Linked DNA regions of Tamandua tetradactyla. The protein of the gene in region 1 binds, or shares a complex with, the protein of each later gene. Links are inferred from orthologs where the notes say so. Each region holds a gene or a part of one and is shown on either strand. Other genes may lie near its edges.

What was found. The genes of interacting proteins can lie anywhere in the genome.
Region 2: the proteins of ETFB (region 1) and ETFA are in contact, whole or in part, in a crystal structure (PDB 2A1U), measured with the Homo sapiens proteins. The link is inferred for Tamandua tetradactyla from reciprocal best matches to the Homo sapiens genes ETFB and ETFA. Residues at the interface, in NP_001976.1 of Homo sapiens: Ile14, Tyr16, Val18, Ile20, Val22, Val29, Thr31, Phe41, Leu102, Arg106, Lys124, Gln125, Ile127, Asp128, Asp129, Asp130, Cys131, Asn132, Gln133, Gln136, Met137, Ala139, Gly140, Phe141, Asp143, Trp144, Pro145, Gln146, Thr148, Phe149; in NP_000117.1 of Homo sapiens: Glu27, Leu88, Pro89, Glu90, Ser113, Ala114, Phe115, Lys117, Asn118, Pro121, Arg122, Ala124, Ala125, Lys126, Glu128, Val129, Ala130, Pro131, Ile132, Ser133, Arg146, Thr147, Ile148, Tyr149, Ala150, Gly151, Asn152, Ala153, Leu154, Cys155.

What each region holds. Positions count from the first base shown.
Region 1 is NC_135342.1:9,987,429-9,995,027, forward strand, and holds the start of ETFB (electron transfer flavoprotein subunit beta), read left to right. Parts: upstream 1-4,581; 5' UTR 4,582-4,976; coding exon 4,977-5,123; intron 5,124-6,995; exon of another isoform or gene 6,996-7,088; intron 7,089-7,599. Other genes in the region: protein NKG7, read left to right, coding at 70-213, 310-444, 572-630; CLDND2 (claudin domain-containing protein 2), read left to right, coding at 2,240-2,268, 2,677-2,858, 2,978-3,118, 3,229-3,348, 3,527-3,600. UniProt on the Homo sapiens protein: Heterodimeric electron transfer flavoprotein that accepts electrons from several mitochondrial dehydrogenases, including acyl-CoA dehydrogenases, glutaryl-CoA and sarcosine dehydrogenase.
Region 2 is NC_135340.1:90,701,467-90,708,896, forward strand, and holds the start of ETFA (electron transfer flavoprotein subunit alpha, mitochondrial), read left to right. Parts: upstream 1-4,427; 5' UTR 4,428-4,556; coding exon 4,557-4,595; intron 4,596-7,430. UniProt on the Homo sapiens protein: Heterodimeric electron transfer flavoprotein that accepts electrons from several mitochondrial dehydrogenases, including acyl-CoA dehydrogenases, glutaryl-CoA and sarcosine dehydrogenase.

The DNA of each region.
Region 1 (7,599 bases):
TGGGAGGGGGCTCTCCGGAGGGGGGCCAGCTGGCAGGGCCAGGCGCTCAACAGCTTCCTCTCGGGGCAGGCTACATCCACGTGACTCAGAGCTTCTGCATCCTGGCCGCCCTGTGGGGCCTGGTGTCCCTGGGTCTGCTTGTCCTGTCCTGCTTCCCCTCGCTGTCCGTCCCCCACCGCGGCCTCCTCTCCGCTGTCACAGGCTTTGTTGCAGGTAAGGGCTCCGAGGGGCGTGGCCATCATGGGGGGGGAGGGGGGCAGGGGACTTGCTGCCGAGGGGCTGAACCGTCTCTCTCGCCCCCACCCCCAGCCTTCTCCATGATGGTCGCCATGGCCGTGTACACCATCCAGCAGTGGGGCCAGCCGCTGCAACCCCAGACCCAGACCTTCTTCTCCTGGTCTTTCTACCTGGGCTGGGTCTCAGCTCTCCTCTTGCTCTGCGCAGGTGACAGCTGCCCTCCAGCCCAGCTCCCCCACCCCACCCCACCCCACCCCGGGGAGCTCCAGAGGGCCCAGTGGGGGGCCGAGGGAGCAGGGCGGGGACAAGTGCTAACCTCTTTCTGGCCACCCAGGGGCCCTGAGTCTGGGCAGCCACTGCAGTGACCCCCGGCCGGGCTACGAGACTTTGTGAGCTGATGGAAGGATGGCAGGTGAACTCTGGAGCCCTCTTCTCTGGCAGGCAGTGTCCATTGGGAGGCACCAGCACGCCGCGCCCTCCATCCCTCCCCTCCCCCTCAGCCCTTACCCAGCCCCCCACCCCCAGTCCTTTCATTTGTATCTTGTTCCATTCAACAAAGTTTTGCAGCGATGTGGTTATTCTGAGATTAATTCAGCAAAGACATAAACCAACCTGAGCGTCAGCTCCATGAGGGGTGAGGCTGGTGGGGGTGGGGTGCCCAGCCAAGTGGGAGAGTCCCACCAGCCCGCAGGGAGCTCCCTGTTCTCTCTTCTTTCTCTTTTCTTCCGTGTCCTTCTCCCTTTGTCTCTAGCTCTCTCCTCCTCTCAGGTTCCGTCACCCTCTCCCTCACTCTCCTCTCCTTTGCACATGGCATTAATCCACTCACTCCCCTGAGCTTGGGTTCTCTGTGGGCAGCGGATCTGAGTCATACCTAGGGCCCTGCCGTGGTCTCACACACTGGAAGGCAGGGGCAGGTAAAGATGAAAAGCAGTTAACACAGGCCAGAGAGTTGGCTCCCAGGGAGGGGGCCAGAGAAAGACCATGCAGAAGGCATTTTGGTACTTTTCGAGGAGCCAGGAAGGGCGGTGCAGGCAGAGGGCCCAGGGGCTGGCCGGGGGTGGAGGTTGCACTTTGTGGCTGGAATGGAGAATGGTGAGGGGGGCAGGGCCTCTAAGACCACCTTTAATTCCCTCCTGAATATGACCAGGAGCAAAGAGGAGGTTGTGAGCAGAGAAGGACTGTGGCCAGCTCTGGGTGTCAGACCCCTTTGGGGGTTTACAGGGAGGCGGGAAGGGCAGGGAAAGCCCCTGGCAGTGGGACCCGTGGGGGTGGATAGGTCAGGCCTGGGGCTAAGTGCAAGAAAAGGGGGGAATGAGTCAGCTTCAGGGGGCAGGAGGAATAGGACTTGGGGACTCAAGGGCTTTATGGGGTAGGGGGCGGGCAGCAAGCAGGGGCCTAGGGGAGTGGGTGGGAGAAATGGGCTGCAAATGGAGCTTGGGGTGGCTGCAAGGAGCTGCAGGCTCACTTGGAAGGAAGGTGCAGGATGGAGCCTCAAGGAAAACCCATGTTGAGGAGTGGGGGGGGTGAGCTGGGGAGAAAAAAAGCCCACAGGGGTCCTGAGGGCACAGCCAGACAGCAGGAGACCAGGAGGGCTTGTGGGGTGCCCCAGAAGCTAAGGGAAAAGCAGTATCTAGACCTAGGAAGTGGTCTACCACGTCAAGACCCACGCCACACCTGCTGTCTGACTCAGAGCTGTCACATTGCTGGGAATCCAATGCATGCAGGAGGGGGTAGCAGGGCTTTATCTCTTTAAATGGCCACTGGCGAAGGGGGTTCTGGAACTCCTGCTGCCTCACAGAGGCCCAGTCTCCCCTGACCCCGGCTCTGTGTGTAGCAGTCCTGGGGAACTCGGTGTGGTCACTTAGGTGGGTGTGTGTGTGTGGGGGGGGTGCACACTGAAGGGCCAAAGGGGTAGACTCCTCTGGGAAAGGGGGGTCTCAAGGGGACAGGGAGGTTCCTAAACAGAGAACCTGGAGGAAGAAGGGGTCTCAGGGACACTGGCATGGTTGCTGGGGAGAGGAGAGCCCAGGAGTAAGGGCTCCAAGCAGGGATCCCTGGAGGAGGGAAAGGAAGGCCCGAGGGTGGTCTGCCCCACCCCACCCCCACCTGTGACAGGGGTGCTGGGAAAGGAGACTGAGGAATAGTGGGAGCTGGGGGAGGAGCCTGGGGAGAGAGGTGTGGGGGAGGGGGCCTCAGGGGGATGGAAGGAGCTGGGGAAGGGGCCTGGGGAGAGAGAAGCCTGGGGGGAGGGGGTCTCAGCAGGGTGGAAGGAGCTAGGGGAGGGGGTCTCAGAGGGGTAGAAGGGACTGAGCCTGGGATCTGGGGGGGTGGGGAGATGGAGGGATCTGGGGGTGGCGTCTGGGGAGGGGGCAGATGGGAAGCCCGGGCCTGGGCTGAGGTCGGGGGTGTGGCCTCCTCCTGAGCATGTGGCCCTCGCAGCAGCCTCCCTGGCATGGGGGTGAAGCACAGCCTTCAGAGGGGGGGCACCCTGCTCAGCCTGCTGGCCAACATCCTCATGGTGCTGTCCGCTGCCACCAACTACTGGAGTCGCTACCCCGAGGGCCACAGCGGCCTGTGGCAGGAGTGTCACCAGGGCACCTGCTCCGTCATCCCCTGCCAGAGTGAGGCCCGGCTCCCCGCCGACCGCAGCCCCGCGGGGGGCCTTGCCACGCCCCCGACCTCCCCGCCCCCACCCCAGGGAGCTGACGCCGGCCGGGACTGACGCGGCCCCTCTCCCCAGCCATGTTGGCGGTGACCGGGGCGTGCATGGTGCTGGCGGCGGGCTCCGGCATTGTGGGCATGGCCATGGGGCTCAAGATCCTGTGCCGCCACGGCGACGCGCTGCGGGGCCAGGCCACGAGCGCCGTCCTCTTCCTCAGCGGTGAGACCGCAGCGGCTCCGGGGCTGGGGGAGGGCGGGAGGCGGGCGGGGGCGGGGGCGGGGTCTGGCCGTGCGCACCCGGCGGCGCTCACCTGGCGGGCGGGGGGCCAGGGCTGCTTCTGCTCATTGCCTTAACAGGCTACACGGTGAAAGACGCCTGGAAGTCCGACGTCTTCTTCTCCTGGTCCTATTTTGCGGGGTGGCTGGCTTTACCCTTCTCTATTCTCGCGGGTAACCGGCACGGCGGGAGAACGCGGGTGGAGGGACCGCCCAGGCGACCCCACGGCCCCCGCAGCCGCCGGCCCAGGGAGCCCCCCACCGACCCCCAACCCGCCACCCCCACGCCCCCAGACCTAGACCTCTACCCGGGCCCGTCCCGCCCCGGGACCCACCGCCCCTCTCCCGCCAGGCTTCGGCTTTCTGCTGGCGGACATGATCCTGCAGAGCACCGACGCCATCAGCGGCTTCCCCGTGTGCCTGTGAGCGCGGCCTCCTGCGGCAGAATAAAGGAACGGCTGCCAGCGCCGCGGCTCGCGCGCCTTTCTGGGGGTCGTGGGGACACGGGGATATGGGCGTGGAGAGGGCGAGGACACGGATACGGTGCACGTGAACGTGGAAAAGGCGGAGATATGAACACGGGAGATACGGACACCAGGGTCATGAGCGTGGAGAGGGCGGGACACGGACACGGGGTCGCAGACACGGGAGACATTGAGTGTGCAGAGGACATGGGGGAACATGAATGTGGGGAGGGTGGGGACACGGAGGACACGTGAGTGTGGAGAGGGAGGGGACAAGGACACCGGACGACATGAACGTGGGGAGGGCGGGAACACGGACGCGGGCCGCAGACCTGGGGTACGTGGGGTGGACTGGGAACATGAACAGCGGGAACGTGGACACGCGGGAGGACATGTACGTGGACGCGCGAACGTGGAGCGGACAAAGGACATGGATATAGAAAACAGCGGGGACACGGGGGGAAGTGAGGACACGTGGGGTGTGGACGCTTGGGGACAGCGTAGGGAAGAGGTGGGGAACTTGGGGACTAGGGCGACCCGGAGCTTCTCCCTCCCGCCCCTCGCGGCCCCGCCCCCGCAGCCGACACGACCTTTCCTCTAGTTCCTGGCCACGCCCCCTCACGGGGCCTTTTCCTCCCTCCTGTTCCCGCCTCTCACCCGGGAGCCGCGCCCTATTTTTGGTCACATTCGCTTGCCGGCCTCCCATTGGCTGGCCCCGCCGTGGTTGACTGACTGGGAGGGCGGTGCGCAGGCGCAGAGAGGGACGGGAGAGGGGGCGTGGCGTCCGGGCCGAGGGGCCGGCGGCTGAGGCGGCGGGAAGATGGCGGAACTGCGCGCGCTCGTGGGCGTCAAGAGGGTCATCGACTTCGCCGTGAAGGTGATCTGGTCCCCCTCTCCCACGTCCCTGAGCCCCGCGGCCGTATACTTCCCGGGTCACGAGCGCACGCTGTCTCGTAACCTCTGACCTCTGCTGTGCTTATCCCCAACGTCAAAGTCGCACCTGGGGGCAAAGATCAAGGACGGAGAGGTTCTGACCCCGTCCTTTTTCCCCAGTTTTGGACATACAATGTTGAGAACTGTGTGCAGAGCAAGTTACCTCCTGTATTTTTTAGCTACTGGGGGAATCCTAGACCCTTTTAACACACGGGGAAACTGAGGCACAGGGCGGCCAGGAAGGGGCAGAGCCGACGTTGCAGTCCTGGGCCTCCTGACTCCTTAGCTTTTACCCACGAAGCTGTAATTCTCAGGAGGAGGTCTTTTACCGCACAGAGCCACAGAGTCAGTGAGGAGGCTTTAGCTAGAAGTGGAAGCTGGGAAGAGCGTTTTTGTTTGCTGGAGATGAAAGTGCCTGGAGAGCACAGCCAGCCTGACCCGTGGGGCAAGGCTGGGTTTCTCCAGAGGGAAGCTGGTCTGGAGAAGATGAATCAAGCACAGCACCCCTCAAGCCAGTCTCTCTCAATACATGGCCTGAAAACCAGACTGAAGGTGATGACTGTTTATCCATCCATGGCTGTCTCCCCCCTCAGACTGAGAGCTTACATCTGTGTCCCCAGCAGTGCCCCTCCCCACCCCTGGCACCTAAGAGGTCTCAGCACAGATGAAACAGGGCCAGAAAGTTGGTACTGATTTTAGTGAGTGAAATGGGGGGCCAGGAGGGGCCAGGAGTCAACCGTGGGCCTGAAACTTCAGTGATTATGATTGCTAACATTTAGGGAGTTCGAACTGTGCAGTGTTGTAAGGCCTTCACAGAGGATGTGTCTCTTGAGGTTCTTCCCAGGACAAAGAAATGGTTCAGACATTGCCAGCTCCCCATTCACTGGGCCAGACCCCAGCACGGTCTGCTTCCTTCCTTCCCTCACCTCCCACAGTCTCAACCGGGACCCTCCGGCTCTCCTGCCTTTCTGCCCTGTCTCTTCCTCTTCCTCCTCAGGACCCAGCAGTTCGGGCTTCATCTTCTCCCACTGGGACCCTTGCTCAGTCTCCTCCATGGCTTCCAGTCCACCCCCTACCAGCTCCAGGGCTCTTTCCCTGCTGCCACCCTACTCCTTGCACTCCCGTGGTTGACCAGGACCCTCCCCACCTCCTAACAAAGTTGCATCCCCTCAGCCTGGCCTTTGACCCCCCTCACGGGTTTGTCCCCTCCAGCTTCACCCTCTGTGCTTCCATAACCCCAGCCTGCCCCTGCTTTCCTGACAGACCCAGCTGCTTCTTGCCTTGGCCCTCCCCTCCCCCCATGCCTCCTGCCTGGGCGCCTTTCTCATTCTACCCTTCACCTATGCCCTCCCCTCCCTTACTCTGCCTAACTGCTACCCACTGATTGTATTAAAGTTGAATCACCTCCTCCGGGAAGCCCTCCCCCCTTCAACTGCCATCAGGCTCATTGGTGGCTGCCAGTGATTGCATCTTTCTTTTAACCACATGTCCCCCTCTGCCACCGGACAGCTCCTTTCAAGGAGGGCCCAGGTGTGACTCTTTTCTCAGCATGGCTCCCTCCCCTCCTTCAAGTCTTTGCTAAACTGTTATCTTCAGTGTGAGGCCTTTCCTGGTTACCCACTTAAAACCACATTTTCCTCTCATTCTTGTCTTGTTTTATTTTTTTCCATTATCTTAGCATCTTGTCATCTGCTATATAATTTATATATTGACTGCTTTAGTGTCTGCCGCCTTTCCCAGACTTTGAGCCCCCAGGGGGGTTGCCTGGTGTGTACACTGTTGTTGCAGGTAGCGAGTGTGACTAAACAGCTCAGAGCGCAGACCCTGGAGCCCAGCTGCGTGGGTTCACGTTTCACTGTCACCATTTCTGCCGTGTGACCATGGGGAGTTATTTAAGCACTCTGTGTTAGTGACCTGCTGCTGCTGTAACAGATTGCCGCAAAGGTGGCACAATTTATTCTCTTACATTCCTGGGGCCCAGAATGCCAAAACCAGTCTCATGGGGCTAAGGCCCAGGAGTCAGCAGGGCTGGTTTCTTCTGAAGGCTCCAGGAGAGAATCCTTTTCTGGCATCTGGAGGCCGCCTGCCTTCCTTGGCTCATGGCCCCTTCCTCCTTTTCAAATTCAGCTGTGTAGCAGGCTTTCACTGTCCCTTTGCTCTCCTCATCACATCTCTTTCTAGCTGACTCTGATCCCCCATTTCTCTTATGAAGTCCCTTGTCATTGCAGTGGGCCCACCCTTGCAATCCAGGATAACCTCCCCATCTCAGAATCCTTAGCTTCGTCAATCCACCAGGCACCTTTTGCCACATAAGGTCATTTTCACAGGGTCTGGGGATGAGGCCACAGATATCATTAGGGGGCTGCTCTTCAGCCTTCCCCTCCCCCGCCCCCAACACTATGAGGTTCTGTTTCCTCTTTGGAACAAAGGAGATTGTGATGGTCCCTGCTTATTTTGGTTGTTCTGACCATTCGCTGAGTGATGTTTGTAGAGCTCTGTACATGAGCGCCGAATGGGGTAAGTGCCAGCAGAGATACACAGTGAGGGGCGTCACTGGTAGGAGGTAGTGGGGGTTTAGTTAATCACTTATTCAAAATATAACAGATCCTCTGCTTAGAATCTTTGTGCTCATGTGCACGCATGTGTGGGCGTGCTGTGTGTGCAAGTGTGGGTGTGCATGTATGGGTGTGCTGTGTGTGTGCACGTGTCTGCATTGGGTATTGGTAGACACAGCACAGCACAGTAAATACTCATCCCTGGCCTGGGGCACCTGTTCCAAGAAGTTGAGGAACTAAACCTTCCAGGCCTCTTCTGAGACCCTGGGAGAAGCCACAGCAATTCTCAATTCACAATTCAGCAGGACCCCCAGAGTATATAAATTTCGGGCCCCAGAAAATCTCTTCCTACCTCTGGGATGATCCTAGACCAGCCACATCCTTCTCGGTTCCTGGGGGTGTGAGATACTTTTCTCCCCTTGACACTGGAGGAGGCTGGGCCCCCCTCGTTCTCAGGGTGCACATGTCACTGC
Region 2 (7,430 bases), on another chromosome or scaffold:
TTGGAGGAAATGCTTTGTAGGGATGGGGTGCTGTCTTTCAGGATGCCGTGTACATCCTGAATCAAAGACCTTTATAGGGTGCTGTGTCCCCACCAGGAAGAATACATGGATCCAGGAACCAAGGGGTGGAAGCAGGAGTGGTTCGTTTTACCATCAGTGTCAAGTGATGAGCAGTACCCACAACTCTAGGCTCTGTGGAATTAGAGAGTTTTGTCCCCAAAGGGGGAAACTGCTGCCAGAGGACCCGGCATGAGTCCCATTGCAATGGAAGTGACGGTTCCCACCTGAGCTCTTTGGGAACCTTGTATGGAGGGACCAGCAGGCAAGAAGAGGAGTCACCATTACGGCCAAGGGAGATCCACTTGGGGGACTCTCCCACCCCCTTGAATGCATGACAAATGGGGAAGTGCAGCAACCCTGGTCTGAAGACAGCCACCAGGTAAGCCACTGAGCCTAGCAGAGCTGCTGACTGAGAGTGGAGGGAACTTAGAATGGACAAGGAGGAAGGAGTGCAGTAGTGGCCCTGAGATCACTGCAGCAGCCGGGGCTGTAGTTCAATGATCTATCCTTCCTCATCCAAGTTTCAGTGGGAAGACAGGCCCACCAGACTCCCGAAGGAGCTGCTCCCCAAACTGGCCTGTGGAGAGGAAAGAGGTGTTTTTCCAAACAGAGTCAGTCTTCAGGGGTTGACTGTGACAACCCCTCCCTCTAGGCATTCCTTTCTTCTCTCCTTTCCTCTGTGCACAAACATTTTTACAGACACTCATTGAACATCCACAAATATCAACCAGATAATAAAACCCACGTTTCCTGCCACCAAGAAGCTCCTAATGGAGTGGGAGAGACAGACCCCGATATTATGAATGCTTTAGTAAGCACATTTCTCTGGCCCTTCTCCTCTTGCAAATGCAGGAAGCTCCCACTATCTCCCATGCCTCCCAAACACCCAGGAGGCATCTCATGGGTGCCCCTTCTCTGTTCTGACCCTGTTCTTCCAGGATCCACCGCTTCCCCCGGGCATGGCGCCTCTGCTGGGCACAGCTGCTGCTGATTCACTGGAGCCTGGGAGGTGCCAACTCCGTCCTGTGTGGGTCGGGAAGCTTCTCTCCCCTTTTGCGTTTTGCTTTGTCATGGGCGGGGGACAGGGAAAGAGGTTAGTTTGTATCCCAATTTTTTACATTTTTTTTTTAAGCAAAATATCCCTTTCGGTTTTGACTTAAAGTACTCCCATCTCTTCTGTTAATTTCCATAGGACTCAGATTTCAGTCCAGTGGGGTACTGGGGTGGGAGGCAGCGTAGTGGTCAATGGGACTTAATGGTCCCCTCCTCCCACACGCGGATTTAGTGGGGCTCCACAGCCTCGGGCCCCTGCACAAACACAGACATGTCTGCAGCGGATGTGAGTATGCTGAAAGTGGGCCCCCAGGTCCTCATTGAGAAAGGTAAGAGAGTAAAGGTGAAAGACAGATTCCTTCATCCTGGAGGACTAGGGAAGGCTTTGCAGAAGAAATGTCACTTGAGCTGTGTTTTTTTTTTTTTTAATTTTTAAAGTTTTTTAAAACATGACAAACAAGCACAAAAATTCTTACCATATGATCAATCCATTCTACATACATAATCAGCAATTCACAATATCATCACATAGTTGCATATTCATCATCACGATCATTTCTTAGAACATTTGTATCAATTCAAAAAAAGAAATAAAAAGAAAACAGAAAAAAATTCATACATACCATACCCCTTACCCTTCCCTTTCATTGATCACTAGCATTTCAATCAACTAAATTTATTTTAACATTTGTTCCCCCTATTATTTATTTATTTTTAATCGATATATTTTACTCATCTGTCCATAACGTAGATAAAAGGAGCATCAGACAGAAGGTTTTCACAATCACACAGTCACATTGTGAAAGCTCTATCATTACACAATTATCTTCAAGAAACATGGCTACTGGAATACAGCTCTACATTTTCAGGCAGTTCCTCCAGCCTCTCTGTTATGCCTTAACTAAAAAGGTAATATCTATTTAATGCGTAAGAATAACCTCCAGGATAACCTCTCGACTCTGGAATCTCTCAGCCATTGGCATTTTATTTTGTCTCATTTTGCTCTTCCCCCTTTTGGTCGAGAAGGTTTTCTCAATCCCTTGATGCTGAGTCCCAGCTCATTCTAGGATTTCTGTCCCACATTGCCAGGAAGGTCCACACCCCTGGGAGTCATGTCCCACGTAGAGAGGAGGGTGGTGAGTTTGCTTGTCATGTTAGCTGAGAGAGAGAGAGAGAGACCACATCTGAGCAACAAAAGAGGCTTTCATGGGGGTGACTCTTAGGCCTAATTTTAAGTGGGCTTAGCCTATCCTTTGTAGGGTTAAGTTTCATATGAACAACCCCCAACATTGGGGGCTCAGCCTATTGCTTTTTTTGTCCACACTGCTTGTGAGAATATCAAGAATTCTTGACTTGAGAAAGTTGAATTTTCCCCCTTTCTCACCATTCCCCCAAAGGAACTTTGCAAATACTTTTTTATTCACTGTTCAAATCACAGTGAATGCTGAGGGATGCCAAGAGAGCAAGGCATCGGAGGAAATTAAATTTTGTATGGCCATGGGGAGTGGGGTGGAGAGTGTGAAAAACAAGGCTCAAGAGGAAGGAAAGGATCAGCTCATAGAAGGCTTGTTAAGTCATTTAAGGAGTTTGGATTTTATCCTAAGAGCAATGGAGAGCCACTGAAGTGTTTCGAATAGGAAAATAACATCACTAGTTTGTACTTTGAAAAGAGCTCTTCAGTTGCAGTTGAAGATGCATTGGAGGGTGGGAAGACTGGAAGGTGGGATAACAGTAAGGAGGCAATTGTAGAAGCCCAGACACAGAATAGGGTAGAGGACAGTCCTAGATGGATTTGGGAGATGTTTTGGGAATGGAATTGTCCAGGTTTAGTAGATAAGACAGAGGATAATGGGGAGAACAGTCAAGTATGACTCCCAGGTTTCTGGCTTGAGCAGCTGGGTGGAGGCAGAATGCATGCTCTGAGAAAGTGATTACAGAGAGAAAATTAAATTGGGGGAGGGAATGACTCAGTCTCAAAAATATGGGGTTGAGGTATTGAAATACATCCTGAGTGGATGCCCAGTAGGCAGGTGGATATATGAATCCAAAGTTCTGGAGATTTGGCAGTGAAGCCTTGGGGGTGGGTGGAGTGGGACTGCTGAGCAAGACTGGGTAGATTGGAGGGAGAAAAGGGCTGTCTTAGTTTCCTGGATGCTAAATCAAATGCATTACAATGAGTTGGCTTAAACAACGGGAATTTATTGGCTCGCGGTTTTGAGGCTACTAGAAGTCCAGACTCAAGGTATCATCAAGGCAATGTTTTCTCCCATCGGTTGCTGGCAATCCTTGGTCCTTGGCTTTCTGTCACACGGCAATGCATCCAGTGGCTTCTTCTGGCTTCTCCTTCTTTTCTGGGTTCTATCGACCTTCTGCTTCTGACTGCTCTCATTGTAGCTTTCTCTCTCTGTGTCTGATTTTCACTCTGTGTATAAAGGACTCCAGTAATAGGATTAAAACCCATCCTGATACAGGTGGGCCACACCTTAACTGAAGTAACCTCATCAAAAGGTCCTATTTACAATGGGCTCACACCCTCAGGCAAGAATTATGATTAAGAACATGATTTTCTGGGTTCATAGCTCTAAGTTCCCACAGGCCCCAAGGGATGCCTTCATTCAAGACCTTTCCCAATCTGCTTTTCCAGCATATTTCCAGCCATCCCTTCCTCCTTCTACAGCACATAAAATTTTGTCCCTTTTCTCTGGACCCTCCCATCAGTTCCTCCATTCTTGTTGTCCTGGAGGTTCCTTTTCTGGAATTCAGTTCAAATATCCCTAACTCCCTGTACACATTCCCTTTCTTTTTTTTTTTTTTAACTCTCTTTCCATAATGGTAAAGGATATGCTTTTCTGTGTGTTTCCTCCTAAATCTTGTGAGGTCCCCAGAGGTAGGACAACATCTTATGCATTTTTTATTATATTCCCCTCATCCAGAAGAGTTCTTAGCACATCATAGCTGCAGCACTGATACCTGTGAATAAATGAACGAGCGAATGAATGAATGGAGGGAGAGGGTGGACTTCATCCTGGCGGGGGGAGGGTGGAAGCCAGGAGAGTGACGTCATCAGTTCACTTGTTAAGTTTACTCCAGCGACGTCGCCTGTTGTGGGGCTGGGACACCGTCTGGCCCATAGTCGCAAGTAGCCTTCCCCCCTGCCTCGGCCGCTCCACCGCCGCGCTTCAAACCCAGCCTCCCAGAGAGCACCTCACCTTTACCCCACTTCCAAGTCCGGCCCCAACTTTCCGCCGCCCTCATTGGCTGCGCGGTTGTCCAATGGGCGGGCGGGAAGCGCGCGCTCGCGGTCCGCGTTGAGGTCGCCCACTCTCGTTCGCGCCTCTCGCGAGCGTTAGGGTGGCTGGCCCGGGCCGTGCGTCTTGGCCTGGAGGCCTGGAGGCTGCCGGCTGCCGGGAGGCTGAGGTGCGGACCCGACCTGTACAGAGACCATGTTCCGAGCGGCAGCTCCTGGGCAGCTCCGGCGGGCGGTGAGTCCGGGCGGGGAGGGCCGAGCTCGGTCACCGGCCCTCGCGCGGGCAGGTCGGGCCCGCGGGGCCTGGGAGCGTCGGGCCAGAGGTCGGGGCCTGGTGACCCGGGGTAGGGAAGCTGCCCGCCCCGCGCCCCTCCTCCGCGCCCCGCCCCCTCTGGCCCCTCTCTCGGGGTTCACGCGCCTGCTGGGCACCCCAGGTCCTCCACACCGGGAGGGGAGCGGGCGGCCCAGACCCCTGACGCGCGGGGACCGAATGTCGCGCGGGAGGCGCCCCCGGGGGGAGCTGGGAACCCGGCCCAGCCTGGAGCCGCCGCTTGTGGAGGATTCCGCGTCTGATCCGGGCACTGACCGGCGTGGGGGTGGTGCGTGTCTGTCCCTGGCTAGTGGGACAGAGCTCCCTTTAGGCCACTGTCTGTGCAAGGCCCGCGGTCCAGTCCGACGACTTGAGCCGCTTTTGAGCGGCGGGCGTCTTGATCCTGCAGTCTGACCTGCTTTTAAGCCAGCACGTGGTGTTGAAATGGGCAGAGAACCGGTGGCAGCGGTGCGTTGTGGTGCTTTCAGTTGGGACACCTCGTGAGTTTATCACGTTTTTTAACTCCTAATGTGGGAGGGGCTGATAAATTTTGTCCAAATGCTGTGGGAGAATTGGAGACTGGCCAGACACATGTCAAGTAACAGTTTATGTAGATTTCTAATTAACATTGAAGTTAAGTGAGAAACGAGATTACTAAACTTGGGTCAGAAACTTTTTGACGTTTTGTACCTTTCCTCTTTTTTTTTTTTTTGGTGTTTGGCATATTTTCCATTCACCGCTGGGCTTTTCTCCCCGGGAAGTAGCTGTCAATCTATCCAGATGTCTGTAGGCCCTTTCTTTGGGCTTATTCCTTATTCCATAAAAAATCCCACCCCACCCTCCCCTAAAAACCCACATCCTTCAGGTTTGTGTATTCGCTTTCCTCCGGGAGTTCCCCTCCCCCAGTATGATGTAGATAGAAACAAGTTATAAGTCTTGCATTTGGGAAGATTCCAGAAATCAGAGCCGGATTTATGGAAGAATATCTGTGAATAACTGAAAGGTGGTTTTATGGACTGGATTAGAGTCTGGCATATATGAAATGAGCGATTTTGGGGGGCAGACTCATTAGTTTTGTAGCACTAACAAAAAAATCAGGATTGATTTTTGGTAATTCTTATTTACACCGTTATAAACAGACATGGTTTTTCCAGATGTTTATTGCAGTTTTCCAAGGACTTTTCTAAAGACTTTGACCTTGATTTGAAGCTGAGAGTAGCTGCTCTAAAGTCTTTGAGAGTGTATGAGAGATTTGAATTACAAGTGTATGGGAAATGGTGGGAACACTTCCAAAACAGGACATAAGTACAGATAATTTAAATTTTGAAATATTTCAACTTATAATAAATATGAAAAAATAGTACGAAGAATTCTTCAATTCTTTCACCAATTGTTAAGTTTCACACATTTGTTTTAGCTCTTTTTATATATTCATATTATTATTTTCTGAACCATTTCAGAGTAAATTGCAGACATGCCCAATACCCCTAAATATTTTTTAAAGTATAAATGTTTTTTATTTTTATTTTTTAGTGTTTATTTTTTAAGAACAAGGAGGTTCATTTTGAAAAACTCAGTATAATTGTCAAAATCAAGAAGTTTAATAATGATACAGTGCTATTGACAAGTTTTGCTAGTTACATCAATGTGGTTTATAGCAATTTTCCTTATTCTGGTCTAGGATAGTCCAGAATCATGCCTTACACTTAGTTTTCATGTCTCTTTAGTCTTTGTTAGAAAGGTTCCTCCTTTGTTTTTTTTTGGCTTTGATGACAGTGACATTTTTGAAGAGTATAGACCTTTTATTTTTTATCCTGTCTTCTGATTTGGGTTTGTCTGATGTTTCCTTACAGTCAGGCTCAGGTTATGTATTTTTTGCAAATTATCACAGATGTAATGTGTAGTTAATTCAGTGCATATTAGGTGACGCTTTATTTTGGTTTATCCCATCATTGTTGGTGCAACTTGAATCCCTTTGCTAAAGTTGAGTTCACCAGTTTCTCACTGTAAAGTTACTAGTCTTCCTTTGTGAATTTTAAAGTAATTTGTGGAGAGATGCATTGAGACTTTGAAACTATTCTGTTTCTTATCAGACTTTCATCCTGTGATGATTTTTGCCTGAGAAATGCTTATTATGATGGTTGCAAAATGGTAACTTTCTAACTCCACCATTCCTTCTACACTTACTAGTTAGCATTGTACTACAGGGAAGAACATTGCCTTCTTTCTTATTTATTTATGGACTCATGGATCCATATTTCAGTTAGTGAGTTATAATCTATTATTTTCTGTATATATATTTTGATGAACAAATTGTCCCATATTTGTAAAGGGGGAGCCTCTTCAGTCTGGCTCCTGTTTATTCATAAGGCCATAAAATCAAAATAGCTGATCTCAAATCTCCATTCTTCAAATGTTTCTAACTGTTCTGTAGCTAGCCATGAGTAAATTTAGGAAGATATATTTCCAAAAACATGCTTTTAATAATCAAGTTAGAAACTATATTTAAAATATTATCTTAATTGTTAGAATGTAAGTTAAATGATTTGCCTTTGGTATCAAAGTTGCATTTCCAATTTTGACTGGTTTGTGCCATTGAGTAAAGTCTTTGAGGTTTCGGGACCCCTTCCATAACGTCATCTGTCAATGAAGGTGGTATTTTACATCTATGGTAAGAAGCTAGAGAACACACAGGGGAAAATAAAAAGTCAGGCATTTTCAATTTTAACATTCTTACAGGGATTTAAATTATTGTTGTTG